2 linked regions of the Caenorhabditis elegans genome follow. The protein of the gene in region 1 purifies or fractionates together with the protein of each later gene. This does not show direct contact. Each region holds a gene or a part of one and is shown in the gene's direction. Other genes may lie near its edges.

Evidence for each region.
Region 2: the proteins of C03B1.2 (region 1) and math-45 fractionate together in Caenorhabditis elegans (co-fractionation; one large-scale study listed by BioGRID). This does not show direct contact.

The regions. Positions count from the first base shown.
Region 1 is NC_003284.9:6,362,562-6,378,256, forward strand, and holds C03B1.2 (uncharacterized protein), read left to right. Parts: upstream 1-7,455; 5' UTR 7,456-7,472; coding exon 7,473-7,629; intron 7,630-7,714; coding exon 7,715-7,826; intron 7,827-8,814; exon of another isoform or gene 8,815-8,903; intron 8,904-9,624; coding exon 9,625-9,812; intron 9,813-9,911; coding exon 9,912-9,967; intron 9,968-10,428; coding exon 10,429-10,596; 3' UTR 10,597-10,822; downstream 10,823-15,695. Other genes in the region: C03B1.4 (uncharacterized protein), read left to right, coding at 1,935-2,166, 2,412-2,508, 2,582-2,766, 2,858-2,913, 2,965-3,156; C03B1.3 (uncharacterized protein), read left to right, coding at 3,454-3,691, 4,161-4,270; C03B1.17 (CHCH domain-containing protein), read left to right, coding at 11,087-11,258, 12,046-12,206; C03B1.1 (uncharacterized protein), read left to right, coding at 12,190-12,438, 12,498-13,031; LAMP family protein lmp-1, read right to left, coding at 14,198-14,455, 14,531-14,740, 14,795-15,012, 15,066-15,093.
Region 2 is NC_003280.10:1,508,119-1,525,954, reverse strand, and holds math-45 (MATH domain-containing protein), read left to right. Parts: upstream 1-8,500; 5' UTR 8,501-8,575; coding exon 8,576-8,685; intron 8,686-9,082; coding exon 9,083-9,357; intron 9,358-9,463; coding exon 9,464-9,590; intron 9,591-10,587; coding exon 10,588-10,865; intron 10,866-11,206; coding exon 11,207-11,327; intron 11,328-14,783; coding exon 14,784-15,064; intron 15,065-15,115; coding exon 15,116-15,239; intron 15,240-15,357; coding exon 15,358-15,634; 3' UTR 15,635-15,668; downstream 15,669-17,836. Other genes in the region: Y51H7BR.7 (Protein stum homolog), read left to right, coding at 549-601, 1,341-1,407, 2,078-2,269, 3,368-3,511; Y51H7BR.8 (ABC transporter permease), read right to left, coding at 5,676-5,797, 6,555-6,717; fdgt-1 (Facilitated glucose transporter protein 1), read right to left, coding at 16,268-16,405, 17,025-17,216, 17,295-17,603.

The DNA.
Region 1 (15,695 bases):
TCACCCCTAAGCTGGCCATTCCCTAGTTAGGAAAACACCATTCCTAAGCCTAACGAGAAAAATGGGTATCACGTTTAATATATACGGATAAATTTATGGAAGTGTAAATAATTTTAAAATGGCGCGGGTTTAATACACAATTTCTTTTGGAAACTTTTCAAAATTTGATCACATCTTATAGAAAGTTATGATTTTTTTTTATTTTTCGAAAAAAAAAATTGAAATTATTTGTAAGGGGTTCGAAAAAAATTTGTTCGAAAAAAAAAGTTATCAAAAATTATCAAATATATTTACAGAACGGATCTAAAACAACAACTAATTATTTTCACCAGAACTTGAATGAAAGGCTAATTATTAAGGTTTTTTTGGCACTATCAGCATTTTCATTTATAACAATCCTTTCTGAGATTGTCAGGTATCATTTATAAATAGCATTGAAAACTCTTCTTGGAAACTGAAAATTAATCTAGTTGGAAACTACTTATCAACGACCGCTACAGGGAGTAAAAAGATTTTATGTTTTCAAAAATAGTAATTGGATACAGAGTATTTCAACTCAGAGAGTCAACTCTGAGAACTTCCGCCCAATTATTTACTGAAGTTAAGATAGATGATTTGAATGCTATTCAACAAAAAGTCTCGTTATAATTTTGTTTCTTTTTTCCATTCCGTTTTTTATGATTCACATTTGATGGGATGATTGAATTTAAGAATTTATGATAACAGACGGTGTTTCTCGAGTTGACTGCAGTTCCCCGGTGTTCAGAGATTTTAGTTAAGTCAAGTTAGTGTTCTAGATGTTCTCATCAAATAGTAGTGTAGTTTAAAATCTAGTGATCAGTTGTAAAGTTATTTTCTATTGATTTGGCACAACGATGACGAGTTTTTAGAATGTTTATTATATTTAATAGAGATGTGATATAAATTTTGGTGTGCTAAGCCAGGTTAAACTGAAGCTTTAAACTTTAAACTTATACCTATTTTCTCCAACGCAATCGAAAACCAACTTGTACTGTTATGTAATCCTTCAGTCTCCGCCAACGAAATTCATGCGGACCCAATTGGCACATTGCCAACCCCGTTTGTTTCTTTTCTCTCTCAGCCTCTCGTGTGCTTTCTCCCAACGGCAGATAACCGAGGACTGTGTCGCGCCTCGTGATCGCGCCCATCATGGCCCCCCTTCAATGATACTCGCAATCTACATGCTCAGTGTGATGAGGGCGTTTGTCTCTCCCTTCCTTTCAGCAAGCACACATTTGTTACACACTTTTCTCAATTTAAGGTTAATGGTTGAATATTTAAAACGTGGTTTCTTCTTCTAATTTTTCATGTTTATGGTAAATTTAGTTTACATCAAGCCGAATATCAGAAATAATCAATGCGACTACTAAAACTCATTAACAAATGCTACATACCTGCAGCTCAAAATCTATGGATATGCTGCTTAGCGTATTTCTATCTCACGCTTTGTTACTTCCATTTTTCAAACCTCCAAAAAATTCCGTTCCAAATTCAAACATTCTCTCAAGGTCGTTCTTATGCTTCGCAAAAATATTTTTGATTCGTAAAATCAGATGGCGCTGGTCACCCTGTCTTTCACTTTCAAGATATTAGTATAGGCAACCTTCCGGATTTTAAATATAAAACAGAACCTGGCTAGGGTATATTTGTAATTTTTATGTCGTGTCAGTAAAGACAGACATCAATAAACCTCTAAATCTCTTTACAAATTGTGCTCACAGTCGGTACAGACATAAGGTCGTATTACGTATATGCGCCACAACCATTGCCCCTTTACAACCATAGCCTCTTCACATCTATGCTTCATTTTCACTCATCAAAGCAGCTTTCATCATTTTTTCCAAATTTTCTCTCAGTTCTATCATCGTTTTGATTGAGGTTCATTGTTACAAGTTAGCATTTTATTTCAAATCATGAGTCTCCCGGACAGTGAGACCCTGATGAAAACAGTGCTCGAAAAGTATCCAGACGCTACTGATTTAAAAGAAGACATTGATGTGCATATGGAAGAGTTCAAAGCTTTTGAGTATCGCTTCAAATTGACCAACGTTGTTCTCCGGGCTCTTACTCTTCCCATCCCGAAACTTGAAGATGAATCAGAAGTGGTGTTCGAAGGAAGAAGTATCACGTACCACTGGACTTTCTGTGAGTTTTGAAACGGGGAAAATCTTTGTTATTTGCCTTGAATAGTTTAGATTTTTTGAATATGGTCCGTTTTGTAATTGAAAAAACGTTTGCTCAAAAACACTCCAAAATAAAAGTTAAACAAAACTATACGTTCGACAATCAGCAAAACATTGGGAAACTGATTTCCGGTTGCCAAAAAGATGCCGTAATATCTACAACCAAGAATGCATTGTTTTCTTCAAAATTAGAATTTTTTGTTCCAGGGACCGGAGACGACGAGAAAAAAATTGTGTCCTGGGTGAATTATAGCCCGAAGCCAATCGCTATTCAAACGTTGAAAAATAAAAGTTCCCATCGAAAGTAAGTGTTAAAGAACAGTTACCGCCTAATATAAGAATAATTTATAAGAATAATTTTGTCAAGTTTGTTTCAGGAAAGACATTACCTACAGCCAGTATATTGATATCAAAGGCACCGTTGAGCCAGGATTTGTCGTACCAAAAAACTACTTTGTGCCACATCCTGACCCAGACCTCCAACCAGAGGATGCCGTTGTTCACTACCAGATTTTGACCAGCATGAAAGATTCCATCGAGGATATGCCTCATTTGATGTCGGGTAAATACAAAAAATGACAAATAATAATTGACAAAATTTTGGAAACAAAAAAAAATTGGCAAAATTTTGAAAACAAAAAAAATTGTTCCAGAAACAAAGCTCGATTGCGAAATGTACATAAAGGACCGCTTTGAGGAGTTGCTCCAGGTTTGAGAATAAGCATGTGTTAATAGTTTAAATGTATTCTATATATTGTAGGAGTACCAAGAGAGCAAGAACACATACTACTTGGCCCGTGCCGACTTTTACCGCAAGCTGAAATTCGAGCACTTGGATCTGGATCATCAGCTTCTTATCTCCGCAGCCAATCGAGATTGGATTGACGGATATTTCTTGGAGAAGGAGCTTCGCGCTTCATATTCCCTCAAAATTGATAGTCTTGCGTGTTGATTTTATTTGTATCCTGAAATATCACGTTGTTGTATATTACCATCTGAATTCAATTTGCCTTGCACTTTTTTCTATACTACTTCTAACATTCATATCCGTACATGATATCAGTTTGAATGCATTTTACGAGTTGTTTTTTTTAATTGGTGCTAATCGACTGTAATAAATCATGTTTAACACATTTAACAAAGCCTGTTCCATTTTTTATTATTTTGTAACTATGTTTTGACATATCTCAGAATTATTTTACATGGAATTCTTAACATTTATTATGATAATGATTACCAGTTTCCAGAAATGCCACCTATCATTCCTCTAAACCTGACGCTGTCTCATATATTGGGACGAATTCAGCGAAAGTATCCAAACGCGACCATCGATGCTCAGAGAATCAGTGCTCATATGGGTGAATTCAGAGTTCTGGAATGTTATTTCAATATGACACGCGTCGCCATTAGAGCAATAACTTACCCGCAAGATGAGAATGGAAAAGAATCATGTGCTTCTGGGGAAGTACATTATCACTGGGCATGCTGTAGGTTTTTGAGACAGAACAGTTGACACTGCCAATATATTAAAAGAATATGTGTTTGTAAGCTGTCGTCCAGAACTACACCGTTATCTCTCCACTACCGGCAATTCTAAAAAGCAATATCAAAACAAGTTGTCAGGTAGCTCCTCGAACAACTAAATCAATAAGTACATAGACGATTTTAATTACTATTTTACTGTTTGAAATTGTGTTTTGTTTAGATGAGAAAATATTAACATTATATTGACGGTATTTATGAATAAAACACATTTTAGAACATTCACAATTGCCTTATTGTTTATAGAAAGTATTACGAAAATAGACGTAGAAGATTGTTACTTATAAATCTTTTATTTTCCTAATCAGTGCTTCACTCAGTGTTTTTTCCTGAAAAATGATTAGGAATACAAAACTAATAGGCAACAGTTTTCAGTTTATAATGTTACGTTGAGCGTAATTCAACATTTTTCAGTCTGCGGTGTATCACCTAATCTTCAAGTTTACATCATACATTACAAACCGAGTGGAAACAATGTTCAACAAAAGAAGAAAAACAACGAGAACCTTGCCGTCAGAAAATGAGCGGCTAACCAATACTGTTTCAAAATTTTCAATTGTAGATCTCCTAACTATCATCTCTACTGTCCGTATTAACTTTGATTTTTGTTAAGTGTTTCCCATTTTAATTTTATTTTTAAGCAAATAACATTATGCAACTTTCCGGTATAGATTTTAGCGATCAAAATTTTCTTGGAACGTGTTCTGATAATTATTTTTACTAATCAAAATAAATGCTCCGTCAGTTTCTGGCTTTGTGTTTAAGATTTTGAACATCGGGTATGCAATTACAACAGAGTTCTCCAGAAAAATGCTTCCTTGAATAGATTGTCACAGATATATGCTTTGAAATGAAAATATAAACGAACACGTTTCGAATATTTGAACTCTAGGCAGGTGAGAAAACAAGAGCAAACATCTTCACAATTTAATTTTTAATACAAACTCAGATATGTTGCCCCGTTAGAAATTTTGGAAATTTTGGAAATTTTGGTACTTGTGTAATATGCCCCCGCCATTTTAAGAATTAATTTTTTAACTTATAAAATAAAAAAGTGTACATTTTTTTTGAATTTTTAGGCTTAGGAAAACATCATTTTTAAGCTTAGCGGGTATCACGTTTAATTGAAACGGATAAATTGATGGAAATTTGATTTATTTCTAAAATGGCGGGGCATAATACACAAGCACCGAACTTTTTACTGTAGTAGGTTTAATAACAAAAGGGTAAAAAATAATTAAGTTTCAAATATGACCGGTTTGCATTCTTATTATAAACATAATGGGACCCACATGACCATTCCAGAATGAGAAATCTGAAAAACTTATCAAAAATGCTTTTGGCAGGAAAAATTTCAAAATACTACAGGGTCAAATATCTGAAATTTTGTAAACTTGTTTCTGTAACAACGGCTGGTAATCAATTTTTATTAATTTAAAACTACTTTTTGTTTTTTGTTATTTGTTGTTCATTAGCGGTTTCAAGATAGTTTGTGCACTTTTGAAATCAAAGAGCATTAAAAATTTGGGGATTATCGTTAAAATAGCGAAATATGGTTCATTGCTCTTTTAGGCTGAGAAAAGTAACGAATTTGGAAATGAAATCTTTTGAATGAAAATGTATAAAAATTTATTTCAGCGAAATTTGACAGTATAAAACTGACAAATTTTGAGGTGTTAGCGGAAAACGGAACTTTTTGTGAAAACTTTGAATTGCCATAACTTTTTTTTGAGGATTACGTTTCATCATAAATATCTGTCGTCCTAATTTGTGATGCCTTTCTTTAAACTTCCTGATATATTTCTGATTTACTATAAATTTATTTCTGTATTTCCAACGTAAGTTGTCAAATGCCAGAATTGTTGATTTGACACCCTCATTCAGATTTTAGTTTCAGCATGCAATTTCCAGCTTGACCACATTGCAGGTGCTCTCACGACTAACGATTACGCTTGTGTAGAGAAAAGTGTGGATCGAATCAATCTTTTTGTTCCCAATAAAAAAGTAATAAAATTATTTTGAGCATTTTTGGGTCTATTTGTTTCATTTTCTACTTTGCAACAGTTCCATTGTTTGGCTACATTCTATTTAATTTAAAAAGATGAGTTTTCAAGTTTCCGTTTTGAAGTTGTGAATATTTGAGTGAACCAGGAAAAGTCGGAGGTGAAAATGAAGAGTAAAGTAGGAAACACACTCTTTATTTTCAGCTGTGCTCCTCTCATTTTTTACACTACACTCTACATACATTTTTAGCGTTTTGCTGTGCATTTCATTAAGTTTCTTTCAAATAGATTAAAGATCATTCAGATGTGTAGTGTTTTAATCGAATATAGACGACTTAATATTGATCATAGTACACCACTTTAGACGCATCTGAATTTCTGCCAATGTTGCTTTATTTAGGGAAATGTTCAAAGATCACGCCGCCAATTTTTGAAACTTGTTTCTTTTTTACTCTGAATTCATAAATGTTTATGACAGATTCAAGAGTTCAAGAGGCTTGTTGTGTGGTTTCTAGAATGTTCTATTTTAAGTTGTAAAAAAACGAATTTTTGAAACGTCTGAACTGGATTCCTGATTTCCTTATGTAATTCTGAAAATGCTTCAAAATACATTTTATGTATTTTTTTAAAATTTTGAGTGCAAAAGCTTATGGTTTAATTGGTGTTCAATTAATCCTATATAAAACATTATAAAAGCTACGTTAAAGGTGCCCAAACGTTACAGCAAAATTTTGAAACAAATTTTTTAATTCTTTAAAACTACAGTCAAAATGAGTTAAAATAGTTGGTTTTCGAATATTCTATGGGTTTAAAAATGCAACAATGCTCTAAATTTCTTAAGAATTGCCAAACTTCACAATTTACCAAAACTTCGACTGAAAATTTTGAAAAATCTTAATATTTTCGAGGGCGTTTTTCTAATATTCGGTCACATTTTTAACCACTCATTTTATATTGAATGAAATGTCTTGCAAATTTTTCAGACCAATTTTTTCTAGTTCAATGTACTCTTCTGTGGATAAATTAATTATAGGGACCAATCTGAAAATTTTATCTTCCAATGACATACATTTGTTTAATTCAGAAATCAGCCCAAGTAAACTCTGTACTGGAATTTTTTGTCTTGAAAGATTTTTGATTTGCTTTTCTTTGCACCTTTTTTTTCAATGTAGAAGAATTGTTGTTTTTAATGGACAAAAACAGAGTTCCGTCATCATTTTTACTGTTTTGGAATTTGTCGTGATAGTTTTAAGTCTTCCTTCAATTAAAAATGAGCAAATCTAAGCTTAAACATATTTTCACAAATTTTTACATTTTTCATTGCATTTCGATTTTTTACATATAATTTCAATTAGAAAGCTCATCCAAGAACATCAATTTCCATGTTCTCTCGTTTGCGACGTATCGCCCACTCAAAGAACATAACGAGAAAGAGAAGCCGTGGCTCCACCCTATACACCGTGATTTGCTCTCCGCATGGCTTACCCATTTCAAACCTTTAGAGGCGTCGTCGTTCTTTTTGCCGCCCTAATAAACATTTCCTCTTTTGGCAAAAAAGAGCAGCTAGTGAACACAGAGTACACAGTTTCTCTCTTTTTTTATATATATTTTTTACTTCGTCATCAACTATTATTATGTGTCCTGTGCTCACCTTTTTTGTCTGCAGCTGTCCACTTTTTTGCTTTTTTTCTTATTTTAAAAATAAATTATTTCAGAACCAAATATGGAGCAATTATTTCAAAAATACGAGAAAAAATTGAAGCTCCAGAATGTACAAGCACGCATCTGGGAAGAAAAACATACATATATAAAATCCGGAAAAGCTGTTTTCAAAGTTCCAAACCCGCCAAAACAAGAGAGAACTTTCCGTTGGGTAATCGGTAAGACTTTTCTTTCTTTTTTAGAGTTCTTTTTAGACGCTTTATGAAAAACTGCTATTTCCGGTAGTAATCTACTTTTTTCCAGAAGCTCCGGCGAGCAGCTGCCAGACATCACGTGGATATTCTGTCAAATTCACACCCAGTCGAGTGAAAAGAGCAAAAATCCCGGAACGAATGTACAATATGAAACGATGTTTGTGAGTTTAACTTTTATTCATCTATGGAAGACGGAAGTCAATATTCCAAAAATATTCCACAGTGATATATAATTAATTACAACATTCACGCAGCATTTTCCATGCTAGAGATCGTGAATTTTGTTCAACTAATGTTTATGTATCACAAGTGCCTGGTGCTGAAGCATAGTACATCAACATTAGATGAAACGTATCTAATAATAGTGTACTTTCAAGCACAAAGCACATACTTACTCTCCAGACCTCTGCAACTTTCCGTCTCAATGGATTGCAACTTTTTTTACTGGCGCGAGGGTTCTCATTGGTTTCTTTTATTCATTTTTTAGTGCAATGTTTGGTTTGAAGAACTTTAAATTGGTCACATTAAAGGAGGGTACGGTCAGTGGAGAAATTATAAAAATTTTATCCATGATGCGAAAATGACCAAATATCATAATAAACATTTTAAACAAATTTTGGATTTTTAAAATTTCAAGTCAAATAGTGGTGAAAACTGTGTTTGCGCTACTTTTCGTTTAAAGTATTCTCTCAGCCCCATGAAATGTTGGAATATGAATATTTCAAACATAATTCGAACATACAACTGGAAGGCAACTTTTTTTTTATTGATCGTTGACTTCCAACAAAAAATTGAAAACTGAGCTATCACTGTTTTAACAACAAAAAACATTCAATTTTTTTTTTGAAAAAATTTATGATGGAATTTGATTATGTTAGCACCACAAGAATAGTCTAGAACATAACTTTTTTTCAGAGTAGAATATTTTTCACAGGTAAATCACCGCCTTGAATTATGCTTTTCTACACATCACTTTTATTTTTAAAAAATACATCATCGCTCGTTTGCCTCGCATTAGCTAACATAAGTCTAGCAGGAAAAAAAAGAAGAAACGTTGACAAATTTTTTTGCCTGGGTCTCTCGCTATGCTGTTACTCGGTTCACTCGTAGCGGTCGTCCATATCACTGCTGTCGACAAGAGAGAATAACATGACTGCTTGGCGCAATGGTAGCGCGTTCGACTCCAGATCGAAAGGTTGGGCGTTCGATCCGCTCAGTGGTCAAATTTTTTGTTTTTTAAGTAGTAATATAATACAATTTAATTCAAAATTACACGCAAAAATTTAATAAAGTAGTCCAAAATGCTAATCGTGTGAAAAAATGCCTTCTGGTAATGTATTTCTCACACGAAAATTTGTTGAAATTGGTTTTTGACACAAGCGAATGTTGCAATTATTTTCTTGATTTTTCTACAAATTTGAAAATCAAATTTCACGACTGCAAGTATAACATTAAAAAACAATATACCCAAGCCCACAAAAAAACGTATTCTGAAAAATTGGTACAATTGAGAAATAAAATTTGAGAATCCCTTATCTTTAGAAGTTGATCTCTTGATATTGATACAACTCATGCTAGACAGTGTCTACTCTGCTCAAAAAGTCAATTAGTAATTTGATCCGCTAGCAATCTAACGCATAGGATGCACCCGCAAACTGAACACCTATATCCAGACAATTGTTGCGCAATAATGTCTAAGTCTCCTGTATTTGTGTGTATTTTACGAAACATGTAACGGATAGGAATTTTGCTGACCTCACACGTATGGATGATGTGCAACAACTTGCGATTAAGGATAGGATATGTGTCAATTAGAGCAAATGGATTATACTAATGAAAACAATTGAAGAGTTTTTTACCTTTACGGAAATCTTTATAATTAGTTCAACTTGAACAACGGGAATTTAATTTTTTTTTTAACATGGGATAAATGAAATAATTAAGATGAACAAATTTCAGCCAACTCCGCCGAGACAGTCGTATTGCATTGTCAGATGCAATTTTCCAGCCGGAAAAGAAGACAAACACGATGGATCATTTATTTACCGCTTCTACAGCTCCGGAATACTCGGAGAAGGAATTGCGACAGATAGAAGATTTTCAGTCATTTTTTGACAATTGGGATGATGATTACTATACGGAGCAAGGTACTTTTAGAATTTCTGAAATATTTTTACAAAAATTACTATTTTTAATTCTAGAAAAATATCCAGTTATATATGACCTCATAACAATTCAAATTTCAGATTGTCTAGACCTGATGCAACAAGCTGTAAATGGAAGAATCGAAGTTTATCAAGAGGTTAGAAAAACCATTTTAATAGAAACCTAACTTTTAACAAAGCTCAATAACTTTAAATCTTCTTAGAAAAATTTTTGTTGAGTAAAAATAAAAAATAAACACTAAAAAAACAAATATATGCAGAATAATCAAAAGAGTTTTGGGTCAAGATCGGAACATTAATTTTTTCCCCGTTTTCACTTATTCTTGTCAAAATGTATTAAACTGAAAAACCACGAAGTTTCGAGAATTCCAAAGCACTCAGACGAATCTCTTCGCTGTGAAATACATAAAATGGTTACTTGAAAACAATTAAATTCTAATATTTTTAATATGTAAAAAAAATTTGATTCTTATTTTCCAAATTTAGCAAACCTCTTCTGAAATCTAGTAAAATGGTATCCGATTTTTCATAGATTTGGAGTTTAACTTGAACATATTCAGTTTGTTGAATTGAATCGGTACCGCAGAAAACATTTCAGGTATACAAGCAAACTTCCAACCCAATATATCTAGCAAAAGCAGTTTTTATCAAATTTCTCGACTTTGATCGACTCTCTCCACTTCATAAAACGTACTTGATGCTCAGCGAGGAATGTGAATTTCCAATGTGCTATGTAGAAGGAATTCTCCGTCGTCATTATGAATAATTGTTTTCTGGCTTTTCATATTATTTTTAGCCATTATTATTTTTTGTTGCTTAGATGACATTTTGTTTATTGTATTTGAAAACCAGTATTTTTTGCTCTTTTCATTTTGATTTCATTTTTATTCCGTTCACATTAATAGTGTAATTGGGGATTTGTTCATGGTATTTCATATTTTTAGTGTCCTGGAAATCGTATACTTCATATTTATAAAGATGTATTTTAATGATTTCTGCATTCGTATCCACTTTAAAGTATATAGCCAGGTTCCGCTCACAGTAAAAGAATCAAGTATAACGCAATAAACAGAGTTCAACAGTGTTGAGCCACGCCCACGTGACCTCTCTAAGGTAACAGATATACTATAGACAAACTCCGCCTATTATGTCTAGAGCAGCTTTGTACCGTATCATTTGCAACAGTTGCTCTCGCTCCATTGTGACTTTTCTGAGCTCAAAATTCTAACCATTGTTATTTCAATTCGTATTCTAGAATGCTTCCGGCCGCGAATGCTAGCAACAGCCTTCCTCGTAAAAGTATGAGAACCGTGAAGTCATCCAGACGTCGCAGCCTTGCTCCAAATGAATGCTTTAATACTGAAAAGGAGAAAGGAAACGATCTTTTCTCGTCTCTTCATCGAAAAATTGTCAAAACTGTCAGGAGATGTAAGTAATTATTGGTAGTAGTAAAATATGTAATAGTTGAAATAAAACCAGTAAGTATGCTTCCATGTAGATTTTTTTTAAATTCATGTGAGAGTTGCATTGAGTAGTAAGTATCACGCATCCAAGAATATATGAAACTTATGTTTTTGTGGAGTGGGATTCTTTTTCATTGCCGTTACTAACATTATTGTAGACTTAAGTATAAGTTCTTGAAGCTAATGCGCTCAAAACACGACTTTTTAAAGGAGTAGTAATGGTTCGGACAATTTTGAACGTAGAGACGCAAAATAGGCTCAAATAAACTGAATTCTGAGGCATCCCAAAAATTCTTCAAAAATATATTATGCCGGTTTAAAATAACTGAAAAATTAAGATAATTTTTTCTAAAATTTCATATTTTACCAACTATTCCGTTTCGCAAGTTTTTGAAATTAAGTTTTATTTGATTATCTTTTTTTGTATCAATTTCAGTGATTTTCGGTTACTTATCAGTGTATTCAAATCAACTATTATACGTGAGATGAACAACCAAAATATATTTTGAACAAATGAATAATAATTTTCAATTTTTTGTTCGTTTCAGCACATTTTGCATCTATATATATACGTTTGAAATACCCCATTCCATTACTCCTACTTTGAGCCCAAATGATAATTGTTCCCAATGTAGTAGAAGTGGTGCCGTAAAGAGTCCGTATTGAACGAACATTGGCCGAAAAAAGACAGGCGCTACCAGTCCAATCTGAAAAAAAGTAACTCACAATAATTCAACTCAAATAACTTGCAGCTATCGCTCCTGAACAACTTCGTTTGAGAACTGATGAAGAGAGAAGAGACCACGAAGCCTGCGATTTGGAAAACCAGAAAAAATTAGACATTTGCAAGGACCAGTACGAAGCTGAGCTTGTAATGTGCAAAACCCAACACCAAAATGAACTGGACGCGTGAAATTGAGCAATACAAACAAGTCGTTGCATCATATAAATTGAAGATGAAGCGGATGGAAATGAAGATCAGCGACATATCAGAAGAAAAACGTCAATCATCGATGCTATTCGATCCTGCCGGAACTCATTCGGATGACAAAGAAGTTTGTGAATACTGGAGAATGATTAATTATGTGGACCAAAACTTCAATTTGATTGGAGGAATGATAAAAATGCATCAGTACTGTTTGTCTGTGAGTATTCCAGATTTCAGTTATTAAGCGAGAGCTCATAAATTATTAATTTTTTGCAGGTGTACAATAAAAGTGGATCTGGATACTTCCGTGATGGAGCAAACTTCTTCCGAAATGCGGATCCATTGAATCTTTCCAACGATAGCAAGATTCCCATCCAAATGGTTTGCATGAATCTGTGGACCTGCGAAAAAATCGAAATCTGGTATCGAGATTTTTACTCGCATCGTTACTTGGAGCAAGTCGATGGCAAGGAAAAATACGATGAAGATCAATATACAGTTTTTGACCAGTTGTTTGACAATCTTGGCAGTGACGCGAGCACATTGATGGAGCAACAAATCGAGCTCATGAGAAATTACTGTCAAGCGAAGGCTGAGCTTACAAACATGGTGGAGTTCCAGAGAGGCGTTCGGTTTTGGAGAATGGTGTCACCAATTCATCTGCCACGTAACTATCAGCTGGCGTTGATTCTTGCCAAGCGTAATGGATGGGTGCATGAAGATGTGGAGCGTTGGTTCAGAGTCTTGTACGACGAGTCATGCTGTGTTGGAGCCCGAGGTCGTGATGTCTATCTAAATTTCGGTCGTTGAAAAAACTCAATTACACACTTGTGGTTTAAAAACTCATTTATATTGTCCCCCAATTTCACTCAAAATTACTTCTCTATAAATTAATCTAATTATATATTATCACTTATCCTACCTTTTTCATGTGTGTTTTGTCTCTATACAGTTATTCTGGTTTTGATTTGTTCAATTTTAACATGTATTTTTACTTACCTGCCACGGTCATTCTGTTTCGTCATTAATATTAATTTTTAAATTTCAGCAGTGGTCATTTTTCATTTTAATAAAAATTTTTTTTAAAAAAACATGAAAAATGAATCATTTCAATGTTCACTGTTAATACCGTTTTGGCAACATTCCGGCACGTCTGTGCTTAGAAAAAAACATGTTATGATTAAATTGATTAAAGATTATTGATTAAAGAACTACAGTTTTTCAGTTAATTTCCATGTTTTAAAATAGGTATCCCAGAGAGGGTTTTAAGATTTCGAAAATATGTGCTTCAATCATGGGGCGCAGCATTTGCTAATTGGCAATTGCAATTTCGGCAAGTTTAGCATTTGACGAGATTGGACTACATTTTCGAGTTTAGAAAATCACCGTTTTAATGCAAAAGCTGTGAAAAACAAGTCACGGTAAATTTTGTAATGTTTATATTTTATTTCGTCACGGTAAGTAACTCATTAATTAGAATTCACTTTATTCTGTTATACTTTTAGCTAGCTCCGATCTTTGCCTTCAAATAATCCATCCGTTCCCATGCTGGAACTCCTTGAAACTTCAGAAATCCCTAAAGACCCTTTTAAAAATCTTATTATTCATGTATCCTCATATTTGCATAACAATGCACATATTGATTTTAGAAGTAAAGACTGAAATTTCGCAATTTTGGTTGGAGAGGGACTTTATTTGAAACAAGGGATGAAGGATATTAAACGTAAAGTCATCGTACGGGCTTAGAAACAGTGTTCTACTACCACGTGAGGTACTACTCGTTTGAAAAATGGAAGAGAATATCAGAAAAATGAAATAGAACTGAGATAAGTAAAAGAGGAAATGTTGGATGATTGCACAACATTGCAACAGAGGAAATGGAAACAAAGAATCATCAGATTCTGAGCATGAACAAGGCTATTGATAATATTTTGATTGAATGATGATAAGAACAGTTTCACAACAATAGCAAAGATTTAGACGCTGGCATATCCTTGTCTCTTTGCACGAGCACGTCCGATAAGGTATCCGACGAGCACAACCACGACGAGAGCCGCGAGGCAGGCTCCGACGACGATTGGGACAACTTCGTTGGTGCGAGCATCCAAATAGCACACCTCGTAGACTTGGTCAGTTGGGAAAACGGTGCCGTTCATCTGTGCAAATGCAATCACGTTGGATGTCTTGATGTCAATGGTAGATCCTCCGACGAGTCCAAGCTTGGCGGTGGAGCACTGAAAATTTTTGAGTTAGGCAAGAAATAGTGAGTGGTAACAAGACCCCAAATGCTATAGCAGAAATGGTATTACCTTGTAAGCGTTGGTCTGAGTTGCTGTAACATCTCCGGCAGCATTGGCGTCTCTGACAAACTTTCCAAAGTATGGGACAAGATCCGTTCTCTGAGTGGTGAGGGTGTAGTCAATGATCTCAAAGGCGACGTTGCTAGATGATCCGAACACGATATCGAGCTCCCACTCTTTGGCGTAACGGGCAGATTGTCCTTCAGGGTTGAACTTAATCTGGAAATTTTTTCAAGTTATAAATTGCCCTAAAGTTGTTATTCAAAAACTCACATTCAACGTCTGAACCGATTGATTGTTGCGGACTCCGTTGCAATCTCCTTCGACACTGACTGTCTCGTTGAATGTGACCGTGAACTTCTCGGTGGTGTTCTTCTCGTTGAAGACCAAATTGAACTGGAAGTCTCCGTCGAGGATGATGCACGTGAGTCCGGTGTTGTTGTTGGTTACATAGTAATGCGAAGCGGTGGCGGATGCGGAGGCCAGGAAGGCTGAAAATTGATTGATTGCTATTGTATTTCTGCGTAGGAAGTATTTCACTTACCAAACAAGATGACAAACGATTTCAACATAGTTCAATTGTGTAGAATGAGTCCGACGATCTGAAAATGAAAACTTTGTTGTGCTACGAGAGCAGAGCGGACAAGCAATAGATTTGTGTTTGTGTAGGCACAAGCAAACAGTAAATTGCTACGCGAGTTGAATGTGATTAAAAAGGTGGGAACAATGAGGAATATGGAGTGTTTATGCTTCTACAATTCAATGGTCATAGATTGATCATAACAAAAATCAGAGTCATAACAAAACAAAACATAAACTGCTGAGAATAAATGCAGAGAATGTTTATGGGGTGGATGAGTCACCTCATCTCTTGCAAAACAATCGATCTTGTGCGGTTTCTAATTGGAGACATGGTATGATGATGGGAAAGACCCAAAATTGACGAGCAAATGAGCGCTCAAGACATCTTTCGGCAGCGTTAATCAAGACTTTGACTATGATAAAGAAACAAGAGAGCAACATTATCACGATTGGGTCACCTGATAACACTGTCGACGACATTGATCGGTTTTTGGGTATTTCGATTGGTTTTCTGCCAGAAAAAAAAAGAAAAATCGGATGATAATGAGAAGAATAAAGTGCACATTCGCAATGATGCTGTAAAATGTTCTAA
Region 2 (17,836 bases), on another chromosome or scaffold:
ATACATAAACTGACTTTTAAAGCGTTTTAAAATGTGGATTTTCCACCAAGTTATGGCGATCTGAAATTGGTGGCCTAGAAATCTAAATTTTCTAGGCCACCAACTCAAAATACCCCAAACCTAGTCAATATGGGGGTCATTTAAAAGCTCTAACTGAGCGTTTTTCAGAAATTGAATTTTTAAATTTTTATAATTGAACCAAATTGAAAAATGTTGACCCATCATTTTTTGAGAAAATCAAAAATTTCCAAAAAAAATATTATTTTCATAAAACAACAAAAACATGTGTAAAAGATACTCAAAAATCTACAAAAACTCTCCACTTCATAGATCTCTGTGCCGAACAAGTAGTTGGAACGAGTGGTAGTGATGGTTGGGCAAACAAATTCCCGGCAAAAAGTGATTTTTTCGAAAGCCACCAGGATTTCGGGGAGACGCAGAAATGTGAAGAGAGTGTACTTGTTGCATTGGGTAACCAAAACGACACAGTTTTTTCCTGAGAGTTTTTGAAATTTTCTTGTCTTTGGTCGTCTTTTTTTGGACACAAAATGTCTCAGGCTTGCGTGTTTGGCGGAACTATGGTTAAGGATTATGATGAATAGTGAGTCAGAATTAAAATTTTCTTAAAAATTTGAACTCGGCTCACTGAGGGCTTCAAAATGACCCCCATATCAATTATGTTTGGAGCATTTTGAGTTGATGGCCTAGAAAATTCAAAAAGTTTGGGTTTCTAGGCCACCTCGCTGTAACTTTGCAGGAACTTGATATTTTTTGAAAATTAAAAATTTATTCTGTCCGTAACAAATTGTATTTTGAATTTTATAACAAAACGAACATTTAGTGGCCTAGAAACCCCAAAATTTTGGGTTTCTAGGCCACTAACTTCAAATTGTCATAACTTTGCTGAAATTTTACTTTATTTTATTCAAAAATTACCCTGTACGTAATGAAACCTGATTTTGAATTTAATAACAAAATAAACATTTGGTGGCCTAGAAACCCCAAAAACTTGGGTTTCTAGGCCACTAACTTCAAATTGCCATAAATTGGCTTAAAATCAACATTATTAATTTTTCAAAAATTAATTTACAGTCTCAATTATTTTTTATTAGAGTACTTTTGCATAAATATAAAGTTTGTGGTCTAGAAATCCAAAAATTTGGGTTTCTAGGCCACCAACTTCAAATCTCTATAACATTCCTAAAAATCTATATTTTTTAGTTTTCTAAAATCCAAGTAACTTTCCAAAATTGATATATTCACAAAATAGTTTGACAATATAATTTGGTGGCCTAGAATTAAAATTTTCTAGTCCACCAACTTCAAATAATTTTTTTTAGTTTGGACTTCGATGAGGAGCCCCAATCGCGAACGGAACACGAGAAAACGTCGGCTTTCGGGTACCAGGTAAAAAAAATTAGTTTTCGATAAGAAAAAGTCTAAAATCCCGCACTTTTCACACCAAAAACCAGAAAATGCCAACTTTAAGTAGCTGAAATTTCCAATTTGGTACCAGAAAAAGAGAAAAGAAACAAAAAAAGAGTATTGTTTTGAGTGGGCCTATTTAGTATGCACATCGGGAAGAAAATTGGAAGAACATTGAAAAACAAGTCATAAAATCGGGCGGTGCATAGGAAAAAACACCATAAAATTGGTTTTGGCAACTTTTTTGGAGATTTTGGCCAAGAAAGAAAATAATTAGAGAAACGAAAAAACTTTTACTATATAATTTGAACATTTTTGAATATTTTGTCAGTTGAAACTTTTTTGATAGCTCTTACTAATGCAGAGATACGTTAGTTTGAAAAAAAGTGCGGTGAGAGAGCGCGCGAGGGGAGAGACGCAGAGACGCAGGGTGTCTCGTCGTCTGCGTCTCTCACCTCTCACCATTGACTTTGAACGCTTGTATCTCTGTTGAGAGCAAAGCTTCTATAAAAGTTTAAAAAGAGAAAATTATCAGCGTAAAATTCTGCGTCGAATGGTACAACTTTTGAAAAAAAATGAGTTTTTTTTTTTTTTTGTTAATTTCAAAAAAATTTTCTCAACATTTTGACCAAAAATTTGGTTTTCCTTTCAGCACCACGGATTTTTCCGAGCAGAAATCCCAATTATGCCACTGAGCCTTGCGGTGCTCTGCTGCTTCTTGAATATGCTAATCCCGGGGCTCGGAACGTTTTGGGCGGCTCTGTCGGTGCTCTGCTGCTCGGATTCCGGGAGGAGCTCCACTTTCAGATGTTTTATGGTTAATTTGTTGGCGGCTATGTTGCAGGTACAACTTTCAGGCATTTGGTAAAAAATTGAATTTTTTTAGACATTGCCAAAAAATGATCGAATTTTTTTTTTTCCAATTTTCTGGAAAATTATTAAATCTAATTGTATTTTTGAGTTTTAATTTAGACAAATTTCCACTAAAGCTAACAAATCTCCGTATCATAGTTGTTAACTGGGTCGCTACTCAGCCAATTTACCAAAAATTTTCTAAAGGCTGAGCTAATGGGAAATATGTGCAATTTTTTTGATGATTCTCAAAAAATTTGGCAAAAAATCCAGAACATCTTTGATATGTAACTCGGGAAGGACACTTTTTCTTTAAAAAATAGTCAAATGTAACTTAATTTCCCCCTAGGGTGTAGTTTCATGAACTCTTTGCTTTTTTTCCCATAAAAATAGATGTTTGAACAAGAGGAAGTAGAGTTCCTTGACGTAGTGCACTCCAAAAAAGAATGTGTCCCAAGAGCTTTTGGAAGGATTTAGAAAAAGTTGCAAAATGGGTTACTAATTCTGTTTTGGAAGACTTTTTCTCAGGGAGAAACTGTGACGAGAGAGCTATCTAAAAATTACCACTTACTAAAAATATTACTGAGCATAAAATTACAAGCATTTTGTTAATTGGCAACTCTTTTGTAGCCCCCTTCACTACAGAGATAGAGTAGTTTAAAGTTAAGAGCAATCCAAAAGAAGAAGGCGCCAGAAAAATTGTCATAACTCGAAAATTAATTAAGCTATCAAAAAACTGTCAACTAACAAATTATTTATCGTAAAATTTCCTACATTTTGTTAGTTAACAAATTTTTGATAGCTATCCTCACTGCCGAGATACAATGGTTTGAAAAGGAGAGCAGGGAGACAGCGCGCGAGGGGGAGAGACGCAGGGGCGCAGGCTGTCTAGTCGTCTGCGTCTCTCACCTGAAACTTTGAACGTCTGTAACTCTGTGGGGAGCAAAGGTGAAATCAAGATTTAAGTGCAAAAAATGATCATCGTGAAATTCTGCGTCGAGAGGTATTGTTTTTGAAAATTTTTGAAAAAAAAAATCCAAAAATTTTTTTTTCAATTTTTTTTCAAATTTTTAAGAAATTTTTTTTTCAGTTTCTCCTTTTCCCTATTCTCGTCGGATTTCTCTGGAGTGTCATTTGGGGTATCATGTTTATACAAATCGCCAGAAATTGGTTCATTTCCGACTTACACCACCGGGCGGACTTCCTGAGCTGGTGCCCGTGCAGCAATTGGTGAAAAATTATCAAATTAAAGATTTTGAGTTAAAATGTGTTAGTTGGCAAAAACTGTAATTTCTACCATGACAATAACGTATTAGTGATGTATTTTTTGAACATTATGTGTATTTTCTTTCTTTTTTTTTTAACTTTTTTAAAAATGTTTGAAAATGTTTTTTTTTTGTTTTCAGTTGAATTTTACTTGTTATTATGATAATAAAATGTCGAAAATATGAAGTTTGTCAGTATTTTCAAGAGAAAATTTTCTAAAAAATTCCGAAAATTTTTTTAATTTTTTATTGGTGCCGATGGCTCAACTGGTAAGAGGGATGGCTTTGGGAAAAGGTCTCGGGTTCGAACCCCAGAGCGGTTACAATTTTTTTTTATCTTTTTGTTATTGTGTTTTGTCAATTAGTTTGTTAATAAGAATATTATTTTCCCAAAAGAAATTTGAAAAAATTTGTTTCAAAATTTTTTTTCTCAAATATCAAATTTTCAAGCCAAAAAATTTCCCTAATTTTTTCCAGAACAAAACTCAAAAACCACCAAGTTCGACAAGATTTTCCCATCACAACTCCTACTATATATCATGGGAATATTCAGAGCCAAGTTGCTCAGAAATGGCTCCGACTCCTGTACCCTATGAATATGTGAATTTTCAGCCGGAATACGCAAATTTTAAATATCATCGAGATTATGTGACGTTTCTCTACTTTTTCACATTTTTATGTACCATTCCATCAATTTATTGTACTGTAAGAATGTGGATTTTCAATTTTTCCGCGGGATTTTTGAAAATTCGCAAGGGAATTCATCCGTATGTCTATAAGTCGTTTTTGTTAATGCAGACATGCAATTTGGCGTATACTGTACTGGATTTTGCACTGGTTCGGATTCCCTCAACTTCCATAGCTACAATTTATTTTTTGAATATGAAAAGCGACAGTATTGTTAGGTACTATATTGCTTTGTACTACTGCTTGGACTATTGTTGTCAGTTATTTACAGTGGCGTTTTGTTTTGGAAGAGTTGTAATTTTAATTAATAGCAAAATTAACTTGAAAGTAGGTTCTTTTTTTATGAAAAAACATTTTTTTTTTTTTTTTTGAAATTTTTTTTTTCGAAATTTTTTTTTGAAATTTTGAAATTTTTTTAGAGATGTCGAAATGTATTTTTTGGTTGGACTATACTTGTTGTGATCTTTAGTATGGGAGCAGCTTATCCACATATCACTCATGGTGCAATCGCCATGCAATTGGACGTTCCTTTTCAGTATGGCGCGATTATTTTGACAACTGAGTTTGTCATTGGAAATGTGGGTTTTTAGAGAAATTTTCGAATTTTACAGCAATCTCAAAGGGTTTTCACATTATTTTTCGAATTTTTCATAAAATTCTCGTCAATTTGGACCCCATATTGACCAGTTTCCGACAGATTTGAATTTTTAAACAATGTAGCGATGGCTGAACTGGTAAGAGGAATAGTTTTGGGTAAAAAAGTCACAGGTTCGACCCCCAGTGGTGGATAAAAGTTTTTTAGCGAGTGGCAATATAGAAAATAGTGAAAAATCATTTTTTAATTGGATTTTTTTTAATTTCAAAAAAAGCCCAACGCAACTTTTTTTTTATTTTAAAAAAATTTTCCAGGGAGCTCAAATAATTGGTGGGCTCATTTTCTCAACTTTAATTATAATTTTAATTGTCCTTCTGTGTGGAATAGTAATTTTCAAGGTGCATCGTCTTCGAAAATTGTAAGTTTTTCGGTTTTTAAATATTAAAAATTAGCACTTTTTCCAGAAGCCAGGCTCTCAACACAACTCAAAGGAAATCTGCGGAAAGAACTCTTACAGTAACCACTATTATCATTATTGTACCATTAATAATGACACAAATTTTAGCGGTATGATTTTTTTCGTAAAAAATTTTGAAATTGAAAATATGAATTTTTCAGGCCTGCAGCTTAAACCCGTCGAGCTTAACCGGATACGTCATTTTGCTCCGCCCACTTTTTATCGATTGCCGTGTAAATATCGTGTAATGCTATTTTTATTGGAATCATCCGGTTTTTACGAAAAAGTGAATTGAAAATAATTCTTAGATTTTTTTTTCAATTTTTTTAAATTTTTTTAATCAAAAAAAATTTCAGAATTTTTATTTCCCAATTAAAAAAATTTTTGAAGCAAATTATGGATTGTAGGTCATTCTCTCGGCATGACATCTTTCATAAAATAAGTCCAATAAATCATCATCGATTTCTCCAAGCAATATGCCTCTCTGCTGAATTTCTCGGAACGGGCGGAGCAGACCTGGAAATTCGATTTTTTTTTATTTTTTCGAAAAATTTTTACGCAGTCAGCAGGATTCGAACCTACGCGGGCAGAGCCCAATTGATTTCTAGTCAATCTCCTTAACCACTCGGACATGACTGCACGGGCTGTGAAGCAGCTTCATGGGCGTAGAGGAGAGTGGGGCAGGCGCAGAGGGTGGGGGAGGCTTCCCACTATGTTGCTACTACTAAGCGAATATCTCTGTCATCTTTGAAGATATCAAAAAGTTGTCAACTAACAAAATGATCTACACATGTTTTGAAATATATTGTTAGTTGATAACTTTTTGATTACACTACACCGAAAAAAGTTACACCAGTTAAAGGTTATTGATTTTAAAAATTTGATTGTTTTGTTCAAACATTTATAACTTTTCAGTAATAAGCTAAAATAATGTTTAAATTGTCAAATTATAAAACATTGTTTCATAATTTTTTTGTTAGTTGACAACTTTAAAATAACTTACACAGGAAAAAAGTTATACAAGTTGAAAATTAAAACATTTTTCAAAAAAATTTATTTTGGCATTTTTAGTTTAAACGTTTATAACTTTTCTATGAATCTTGTTATTTTACATTTGAAAATTTTTTTATATCAAAAAATATTTAATAACTTTGTCAGTTCAAAATTTTTGAATAACTTGAATGAGAGGAAAGTTATACAAGTTTAAAGTTAGAAATAAATTTATAAAAATATTTTTTTTTGCCTTTTGTCCAATTGTCCCCCTAAAACCAACCTGTTCTATCATTATTTATTCCAGCAGCCAATATAACAGGTACTGTCAAGTACATATGAATAGATAATAGCACGAGTACAGTATTCCAGGTCTGCGGGAGCCGCCGCCCACACAAAATACGCAGAAGCCGCCGGGAGACACTTCGGATTTGGGCTGTGTGCATTTTTTATTTGGAAATATCTGAAACGGGTATTTAGTTATAAAATGGGCATTTAAAAAATAATAGTTGAAAAAAAAATCATGGAACAGTGTTTAAAAATTGGAAAAAAAAATTTGAAATTTTGAAAAAAAAAACGTTTTTTTAATTTCTGAGATTTTCACTTATAACTCGAACATGGGCGGAGATAGAGGAAATTTGTCAGCTAACAAAATGTTCAGCATAAAATTTTATATTAGAAAATTTAAATTATAATTAGAAAAAAAAATTATAAATTATATTTTCCCATGAGTTTTAGAAGGAACTCAAAATTTTAGGTACACTTTAATTTGGCAATTACCTAAAACGTGTGCGGAGCTAGAGAAAAATTGTTCACTGGCAATATATGCAATATCAAATTTTACATTAGTTATAAGAAATTTAAATTTGAAAATAATTCAAAAAATTGGAAAAAATCATTATTTTTTCAGAAAAAAAATTTATAAAATACCCACTTTTTTGTAAATTTATATTTTCAGGACAACGACTTTCACAAGTATCAAAATAAGAATTAAATTTGGAAACTAACTATATAATAATCCAAATCTATAGAAAAAAGTGACCCAAAAACTGGCGTTCACCCGCCGAAAGAGCCCAAAGAAAAAAAAAAGAAAATTGAATAAAAATTTTCTGTGATTGTTATTTTTTCTCTTCCTTAAGCCGAAAACACCACGAGCTAGTCAATAAGCTGCTCGAAAATACCCGAAAAATGAGAAAACTGCGGGTAGAGAAAAGACAAAGTCATTTCCGATTAGTCAATGTTTCAGTGGAGCGTGAAATATGAAATATGGGGCGGAAATGTGCTGCTGAATGGGGAAGGAAACGGGGTGAGGGGGTAAAAAATGTTGAAAATGTTCACTAAATATAGTCTTTAAAAAGTAATTTTTTAAAATAAATTTTTGAAAAAAAATTGAGAGAAAAATTTTCATAGAAATTTTTTTGAATTTTTTTCCAGAAACCTCATAGATTTTCAGGGAAAACCGAGTTCATATTTTTTCAGTAATATTTTAAAAATCTACACCACGATCTACCCCTTGACCGCAATTTTCAGCCGCCTAGCTCAATTTTGGGTAATTTGGCTGAGTAGCGGCCCAGTTAACCACAGGGATACGGAGTTTTGTCAGTTTTAGAGGTACCGAGCTAAAAATTGGTTTGACGACTGGAAAGTTTATAAGGACTTCAAAAATAATATATTTATACTATTAAAAAACAGTTTTTTTTATTCAGAAAAAAAACTTTGAAAAAAAAAGCGTAATTTTTTTTGAATTTTTTTTTTCAGAAAACTCGTGGGTTTTCAAGCAAAAAAAATTTGTATTACATTTTAGTAGCATTTTAAAAATCTACGCCAAAATCTACCACTTGACCGCAATTTTCAGCCGCCTAGCTCAATTTTGGGTAAATTGGCTGAGTAGCGACCCAGTTGATCATTGTGATACGGAGTTTTGTCAGTTTTGAAAAAAGAAGGCTAAAAATTTTTAAATAAAAGTAGGGATATGTTTTTTTTTAACAAATTGTTTTAGAATCTTCCGAATAAAAATAATGGTCTCCGTATTTTATTTTTCAAAGCTTCATACTTTATTCGATATGCTAGATATATGTAAGAAATTTGGCTTAGTTTAATATAATTCACGTGCCTACGTGCCTACCGGCCGCCTATTTGATACCTTATCATGAGCACTCTTCAATTACCAAACATCTCAATTAGTCAAACACGTTGCTCTTTGATAAGAACCAATAAAATATAATTCTCATAACCTCTTTTCGGGTTCGAAATCAATAAATTGTTAATTTCGATAACACATTTTCAGTCATCATTCTGCTGAAAATGCAGGAAAAAAAGAAATTTGTGTTGACTGAAACTTTTGAAAAACTTTCTACTATCAAGGAAGACGAGTTAATTACATGTTTGCCTAGAGAACACTTTGATATCCCGTGGTGAGTGTGTTATTTTTTTAAATATATAATTGAACATTTTTTTGTAAAAAATTTAAGTTTCCCGGCATACTTCTAAGTACTTCAATCATGAACAACTTTTTATTATTGGTCAATGGTCAAGTCGCCAGTCGCCAGGGTGCCAGGCTGTCCCATTACAGTTTGATCTCCAAAAAATGCGGGAATTTTTTTCACTTAAAACAATATGACGTCAGCACGTTCTTAACCATGCGAAATCAGTTGAGAACTCTGCGTCTCTTCTCCCGCATTTTTGGTAGATCTACGTAGATCAAGCCAAAATGAGGCACACTAACACCACGTGTTCAATTTAAAAATTTCAAAATAATAAAACAATGTTTGAATTTTCCACCGGAATTTTTACAGTGAAAATTAATTTCAGGGCAATATCCATCAAGAAATTGGATGGAAATTTCTACGTATACTTGTGTTGTGAAAAAGAGCTTGGATATCCCAGTAATTGGTCAATCGAGTACAAGTCTACAATCCAAATAATGAAACCAGGAGGAATGGGTGTTAGCAGAAATTGTAAAGGGATTTTCGACAAACCATACAACAAAGGCTGTATCATGATGAAGTGGAAAAGTTTAGAGAAGAATTACATCGCTGACGATAAAATTTCTGTGTCAATTTGTGTGAAGATATTAAGAATAAAAGGTTAGTCGGGAAACAATACGTATTGTGAAAATCTTCATTTTCATTTGAATTTTAACGGATATTTATTAATTATTTGGTTTTTTTTTTTGAAAAACGCAACTTGCAGGGATTTCCAACCCTCCTTTGTTGCCTGAAAAGAAATTTGTGTTAACTCACACTATCAGGAATGTTTCCAGCATGGAGGAAGGAAAACTATACAAGGGATCGACAGAAGAGCGATTCCAAATTCCATGGTAACAGTTTTTCTTACCTTTTCTGCATTCCTCATGGCAAAATGATACGTGTGAATTACAGTGGTGGCCAAAAGTATATGCGTTTTTGGTTTTTTGCTAATTCTTCATAATTTTTAAATGAGTATAACTCACAAACTAAGCACTTTGGAGAGAAAAGTTTATCTGTTCAAATGTTGCTTAGAATCATGTCTACATGATAACATATAACCCAACATTTCAAAAAATTCAGGTCAAGAGATACAGCAGGAGACACCTCGCGAGTCCATTTTTGGCTATTTCTCTTGAAACGCCTGTAGCTCGAGAATGAAAAGTTTTCATGAAAAAAAATGTTTTAGTAATAAAACAATCTGCAAATATTTTTCTATCACATGCATATAGTCGTTTTTTTATCAAACAACCTGTAGAATAGAACGGTAAGTTTAATCTCGCGCTTCTCAAAGCACCGATTTGACCAACTGTTTAAAAACCAGGTCATGTTTTTCAAAAATATATTTTTGTGCATATATTTTAAATAACTAGTTGTATAGTTGAATTTTATTTACATTCTAACTGAAAAGCAAGTGTTAGAAAAATTTAACCACCATTTTTAAAAATTGTTCCCGACGGGTGCTGGTACTCCGCGAGTTTAACCTTACAGTTCTATGCTACAGGTTGTTTGATAAATAAACGACTATATGCATGTGGTAGAAAAATATTTGCGGATTATTTTATTAATACAACTTTTCTCATGAAAATTTCTCATTCTCGAGCTACAGGCGTTTCAAGAGAAATAGCCAAAAATGGACTCGCGAGGTGTCTCCCGCTGTATCTCTTGACCTGAATTTTTTGAAATGTTGAATCATGTGTTAGCAAAAAGACAAGATTCTAAGCAACAGTTTATCAGTTAAACTTTTCTCTCCAAAGTGCTTAGTTTGTGAGTTATACTCATTTGAAAATCATGAAGAATTAGCAAAAAAAAACAAAAACGCATATACTTTTGGCCACCACTGTATTACAGGGCGATTTCTTCCCAAAAAGAGAAAGGATATCTCAAAGTATACTTAAGCTGTCTGAAAGAAGTATCAAACGCCAGTGAATGGTCAATTGATACGGTGTTTGAGACAAAGTTGGTGTCTGGAAAAGGGAATAACTTCAGTCGAGAAGTGAAGCACAAGTTTGAAAAGCCTGACAGTTGTGGGCCTGAGGACTATATTAAGTGGGAAGTGCTGAAAGAAAACCACGCAGTTAATGATAGTGTTTGCGTTGAAATTCATGTCAGGATTGTCAAATATACTGGTGGGTTTTTTCCTCTGGACCTTTCTTAATTACTAAAAAAAATCGCAAATAAGTTGAGTTTTACAAAAACTAAGGCTCCCATGCGGCGTCGCTCAAACGTCGCACCACGCCGCCCTCACGCCGCGATTCAAATCTTTAAAGCGATGCGCGGAACCCAAAAAGTGTCGGGCGGGAGCCAAGTTTGCACCAAATAGTGTGACTGGGTATGTCACTATTTGGTGCAAACTTGGCTCCCGCCCGACACTTTTCGGGTTCGGCGCATCGCTTTAAAGATTTGAATCGTGGAGTTTGAGCGACGCCGCATGGGAGCCCTAAAAAACCAAAGCAATATTTTTTCTCAGATATTCCCTGTGAAGTGGTGACACCTGTGAAACAATTTGTCATAGCTCACACTTTTAAAAATATATCTACTCTGAATAGCAAGCCGTTTGGCAGAACAGAAGAACGTTTCAACATTCCATGGTAAGTTTTAGTGCCAAAAAAAAACGAAATTTGACGAAAAAAAATGTTTCTTCAATATTTTTTCTTCGGCCTAAGTTTCAGCCTAAGCCTAGACCTAAGTGTAAGCCTAAGCCTAATCCTAAGATTATGCCTAAACCTGAGTTTAAACCTGAGCTTAAGCCTAAGCTTAAGCCTAAGCATAAGCCTAACCCTCTTAAAAAGTTACAAGAAGGTTTTTCCTTGCGCTTGGAGCGCAAAAGAAAAGAAAAAGAGCTATTTAGACTTAGGGTGCCCAACTGGAATAAAACATTGGAAATCCCAATCCAACCAGCCTAAGGGCCCGAAAAACATACTAGGATGCCCAACTTGAATAAAATATTGGAAATCCTTATGACACACCGGCGGTATGGCGCGGCTTAAGCCTAAATAGCCACTTTTATCAAAATACATTTGAGCTCGCTTTGCGTTTTACAATAACTTCTCAGGCAACTCAAAAGTAATCTGTGGATATTTTTCAGTAATCTATGAAAATACATTTGAGCGAGGCGGTTGTAAACTAATCGTTTATTAACAAAAATATTTAAAAAATATCATACACCTTAGAATATCACGCCTTAATTTAGAACTTATTTTTGGTTCATAAATGTGAGAGAAAGAAGAATAGATCATCGGAATCGGAATTAAATATCATCAGAGTAATTATATTCATCAAATGTCTCACTTTATTGGAGGGTTAATTTGATCAATATAAAATTATTTCTCAGTAATCTGAATAAAGATTATCATTAAGAAACTTAGAAATTTCGTAATATTTGAAGGGATGCGAGCAATCTCTACATATTTGCGATCAACCTTTGGAGATTTTTTTTTAAAGTAAAGTTATAGAATACCAATATTCAAATTCCTATCTCATGGGAAGAAAAGTTCAAATTCTGTACCTGCGTATATTTTTTTATAACTCCGTTCTTCCCACAAGAAAGGCCTTCTTCCCATGAGACAGGAATTCAAATATCGGCAGCATTCATAGGTACAGAATTTGAACCTTTCTTCACATGAGATAAACATTTTATATTGATCAAATTAACCCTCCAATAAAGTGAGACCTTTGATGAATATAATCACTCTGATGATATTTAATTCCGATGACTAATCCATTTTTCTTTCTCTCACACTTATGAACTGAAAAAGATTACTAAATTAAGGAGTGATATTCTAAGGTGTGATAACATATGATATTTATTTTTAAATTTAAATAAAGTTTTTTTTTTAATTTTTGCTAAAGAACGAATAGTTTACAACCGCCTCGCTCAAATGTATTTTGATAAAAGTGGCTATTTAGGCTTAAGCCGCGCCATACCGCCGGTGTGTCATAAGGATTTCCAATATTTTATTCAAGTTGGGCATCCTAGTATGTTTTTCGGGCCCTTAGGCTGGTTGGATTGGGATTTCCAATGTTTTATTCCAGTTGGGCACCCTAAGTCTAAATAGCTCTTTTTCTTTTCTTTTGCGCTCCAAGCGCAAGGAAAAACCTTCTTGTAACTTTTTAAGAGGGTTTCATATATTTTATTAAAATCGGGGCGAAGCCCTGATTTTAAATCCATATTGTTTTTTTTTGTCTTCCACTTGCAACACCCACAGAAGACTAAGAAAGAGAATGTGTTCTTTCTGATGAAGTAAAAATCATCATAAAATCTTGAAAACTGAGAGCAGGAGGTAATATTTGAATATATTAGGTTGTAAATGTGTGTCTCTCTGTGGGTGGGGTGGCGATGTGTTGGCAGCCAGCCCTTCAACGAACTGTATCTCCCGCCTGTATCTCCCTTCAAAGTGAGAATTGGGTTACAAAAATTTGAGGGAATATGAAAAAAGGTGTGAGGATTTCAAAAATGTTATTGTTGAAACACCAGACCAAACCACTTTTTCTGTGCAAGAGGCAAAAAATTAATTTTTTGAAAAATTTCAAACTGGCACAAAATTTTTTCAAAAACAAATTTTCACAAATTGTTAATAGATTTCATTTTTTATAAATATTGTTCATTGAACACGAAATAGAAAACAAAGATTCATCAAAAAATGAGTGAAAAATCGCAAAAATTCGAAAAAATCAGTGCTGAAAAACTCGATTTTTTGGCGGTGCTGAAAAAAATTTTCACTAAAATTTTTTTGAAACTCAGTTTTTCGGATTTAGCGACAAATTTTAAATCTATATTAAAAAACAAAATTAAAATTGATCTCAGATTGAGTGAATAATAAACGCTCAAAGTTGAAAAATGAACAACGCAAAAACGGCAGTAACTTGCTTCAAGGTCGGTTATCTCAGTGAGTTTTCACTCAATTTTCGAAATTTTTTTCCTCTATCGCTTTAAAAATATTTGTAATTTCATTTTTTTTCCTCAAAATCAAAATATCTCAAACGACCGCCATCCAACGAGAAGGGAAAAAAAAAGTTTTTGGAAAAAAAATCAAAATTTTTTTTTCTGCCTTGATTTTCAAAATGAAAAAATCACTTTTTCGGAATAATTTTTACTTTAAAATGTACCTACGATCTTTTTATACAACAATTTCACCTTGGAACCAAAGATTTCTCAAAGACAACAGCGCACGAAGCGGTGGTTTGCGAAAAAACACGAAAAAAACACACCGAAGTGGGAGGGGGGAGGTCAAAATTGCGAATTTGACTTTGGAGCTCTCTAAAAGAGCTCATAGCTGATGGATCTGGATGATTTGTATGTTTTTCGACGCATCTCGTCGAGTACTATAAACTGCTAAAAAATCTCGTAAAAATCGCAAAAACTCGAATTTTCCTGCAAAAAAAAGAGGCGAAAAATGAGAAAAAAAACGTGATTTTTGGAGGATACTCGAAAATACTCTTTATATCTCGGCTCAAAGAGCTCCAATCTTTCTGAAAAAAAGCATACAGAGATGGGGCAAGCTTCTTGAAGAGACAGCAAAAAACCGCATCAAAATCCATCCACCCACCGTCAAGTTACACGCGCGTTTTCAAAATGAACAAAAAACAGGGCATAAAAAAATTTAGACGCCCGCACCCGGACTCGAACTTTTGTCGGATTTTGAAGCTTAATATCTCGGCTCCTGTAAATCGAAATTGGCTCAAAATTCACAAGAAACCTTATCCTGCTACGGTCCTGCTGTCATTAAATTTTCGTGAGCTTAGGGAGAAAACTGACAAAACGCCAAACTTTCAAATTTTAAAAAATAGTTGAGGGTCATTTTGAAAACACCTTAAGCTCCATAACTCGGCGAGTTTTGATGGAATCAATTTGAAATTTTACACGGAAGCTTCTTAGTGGCCTTTACGTCTCTGTGTTAAATTTCGCTTTGATCGGCCAACGGGAACCCTTTGAAAAATGAAAAAAACGCTGTAATCCTAACCCTAAATAGCGTCAGTGGCTAACGCTCCCCCACTGACGCCAAGCCTAATAAAAAAAAGAGTTAAGGACGTACATATATGTTTAGGAGACTATCCATCCGGCGTGATGCCAACGGATTTTTTGGAGCTGGCCTGTACTGTGCGGAACAAGTTTACAAAACTCACAAATGGACAATATCGACGGATTTCGAAATAAAGTTGTTAGCTTCTAGCGGGAACTCGTTGGTCAAAACGGGCAAATTTATGTTTGAGAAAACAGGATTCGCCTGGTTTGACCGTTTTCTGACTTGGAAAGACTTAGAGAACGGATACGTGGTCAATGATAGTGTGACTTTGGAGGCGCATGTCAAGGTTTTGGGCGTTACAGGTAATATATGTAGAGCTTGAAATTTGAAATCACTGCTTGGAATTTATTTAGATTCTCCTCGTCCAAACACTCCAGGTCTCGAGTTTACATTTTCCTACCTTGTCAAGAATGTGTCACGCATCAAAACGGGCTTCACGTATAACAGCCCGACTATTGAAAGATTTGGGATCCCGTGGTTAGTCGAGAATAAGTTTTAGAGCAAATTTCCCGCCAAAATGACAAGTTTTTTGTTGGGAAAATTGAGAAATTTCTGAAAACTTCGTAAAAAATTTTTTAGAAGTTGCTTTTTATAGGAAAATAGCAGTCAACGAGAAGGACGGATTTCTTATTTTAGCACTAATTTGTGAAGATAACAAACTTACTTCTGGAAAACGCACAATAGAAACAAACTTCGAATTGAGTCTGAAGTCACTGAATGGGAAAATCTTCACAAAGTATGCAGAGAATGTATTCGACGTGCATTATGTATACCGTTTCGTGCCTTTCGTAGACTTGAAGGACGTGGAGCTGATTGATGGCAGGTTCATTATTGAGGCTTTCATAAAAATTATGAAAATTAATGATAATTAGGCGATTGATTGAAATAAAGTTTTAAAATTTTGCATTTTATCGTGTATTTTAGTAATTTTAAATCTTGATCACGATTTAAATCGTAATAAATACAATACAATACAATACAATACAAATACAATTTGCTTCAATGAAACAGTTTTAATGATTCATGTGGTGTCAGAGTGTCCCATTTCGGTTTGATCTACGTAGATCTACCGGAATGGCGGGAGTTTGTACGGAGAATTCTCAACTTAATTCGCATGGTTAAGAGCGTGTGCTAGCGTCGCATTTTTCTGTGTAAAAATTTCCCGCATTTTTTGTAGATCAAACCGTAATCTGACAACACCTGCTACGGAAAGATATTGTTTTTGAATCTTCAGCCAATTTCCACCATACTTAGCAAGCTCCGTATCACAATGGTTAACTGAGTCGCTACTCGGCCAATATCCCAAAATTGAGCTAGTGGCCTAAACAAAATTATAGTGTGAAATTCAAAAAAAAACCATACAAAGAATACAAATTTTATTATCTCAAAACCTATACGTTTCGCAGTGGTGTGGAAAATACATTTTCTTTGGGGAAAAAATCGATAAAATACAAAATACTTGGGGGGCTGGGACGGAATATTCAAAATAAATATTAATTTTTGCATTACTTCCTCTTCTCGAATTCGGCTTGAATTTGTTCAATCGATTTTCCTTTGGTTTCTGGCACGAATTTCCACGTGTAGAAGATGAAGAAGGCGAGGAATCCGGAGAAAATAAAGAATGAGTATTGTTGCATGAGATTCTGGAAGAAAATTTCGGTTTTTAAACGGAAAATGTGAATTTCAAGTGATATGCAAGAGCGCTCTATTGAGCAAAATGCAAATTGAGGTTTTGAATAGTTTTTAGAGCTAAAAAGACTTGACTTTACCGAAATTGAAGGAAAATAGCAGTTTTTGACCCAAAAATTCAAATTTCCCGCCGACCGCACTATGCAAATGCGCTCCAATGAGAAAATGACAATAAATTTGTTTTTTGTGCGGCTCTGATGCTAATTTGGTGTTTTTTTTCGCAGGAAACCGCATTACTTCACTTTGAAACAACCAAAATTTCAATTTTTATCTAAAAAATTTGAATTCCCCGCCGACTGCACTATGCAAGTGCGCTCCAATTAGAAAATCTGCCAGAAAGCTCAAAATTGGTAGTTTTTGTCAGTTTTTTGTGATAGAAAATTTTCTAAAAATCTAGCGCATATTGCAAGTGCGCTCTAATGATAAACAAGTTAACATTTTTAATTTTACGAGTTTTCATCATTTTTCAGAATGAAAATTGCATTTTCGTCGAATTTTTCCGGGAAAAATATAATCTAGGCTCAAATTTTCTGAATAGTCCAAATTTTCACACAAAAAACTCCGAAAACTCACATTGATTGGCAAGAAAGTGAGTCCGACGAGCAAATTGGCGGCCCAGTTGACCATAACAGCGATGGAGTTCGCGTTTCCACGAGCCGACGAGTCGAAGATTTCGGAGACGAAGAACCATGGAATGGCTCCGGGTCCGGTGGCAAAGGAGATGACGAAAAGGAGCACAAATCCGATGGCTGAGTAGCTGGCCCACTGGAAAAAATTTTTAGAATTTTTTTTTTCAAAAATTTTTTTTTCGAAATGTTTTGTTTTTGGTATTTCTGTACAAACCTTGTCTCCTCCACTGTTCTGAATAGTCAGCGCACCAACGAGAAGCAGTGTAGACACGAACATTCCAGTCAAACCGGCCAGCAAAAGTGAGCGGCGGCCGAATTTCGGGTGGTCCACAAGCCAGACCGAGATCAGAGTCATAATCACATTCACAGCCCCCATACCAATTGTCGCGTAGAATGGCTCATTTCCAGTCAAACCGGCTCCACGGAAAATTACAGTCGAGTAGAACATTGCGACGTTGATTCCGGACAGCTGTTGGGCGAGCATCATCATAATGGCGATGGACATTGGCCAGAGCAGGGCTCCCTGGAATTTTTAGAGGGTTATACGTGTAAAAATTGAAATCTACGGGTAAAGTTACCCTATTTTGAAAAAAAAAATTAAAAATTTTTTGAAAAAAAAAATTTCAAAAAATTTTTGATTTTTTTGGAATTTTTAGATTCTTTGTTTTTTTTTTCAAACTTGCCATCAAAAATCACCAACAGTCAAAAAATTTCGCCAAAATTGGCTAAACTGTAGTGAGATTTTGTTTCAAGAAA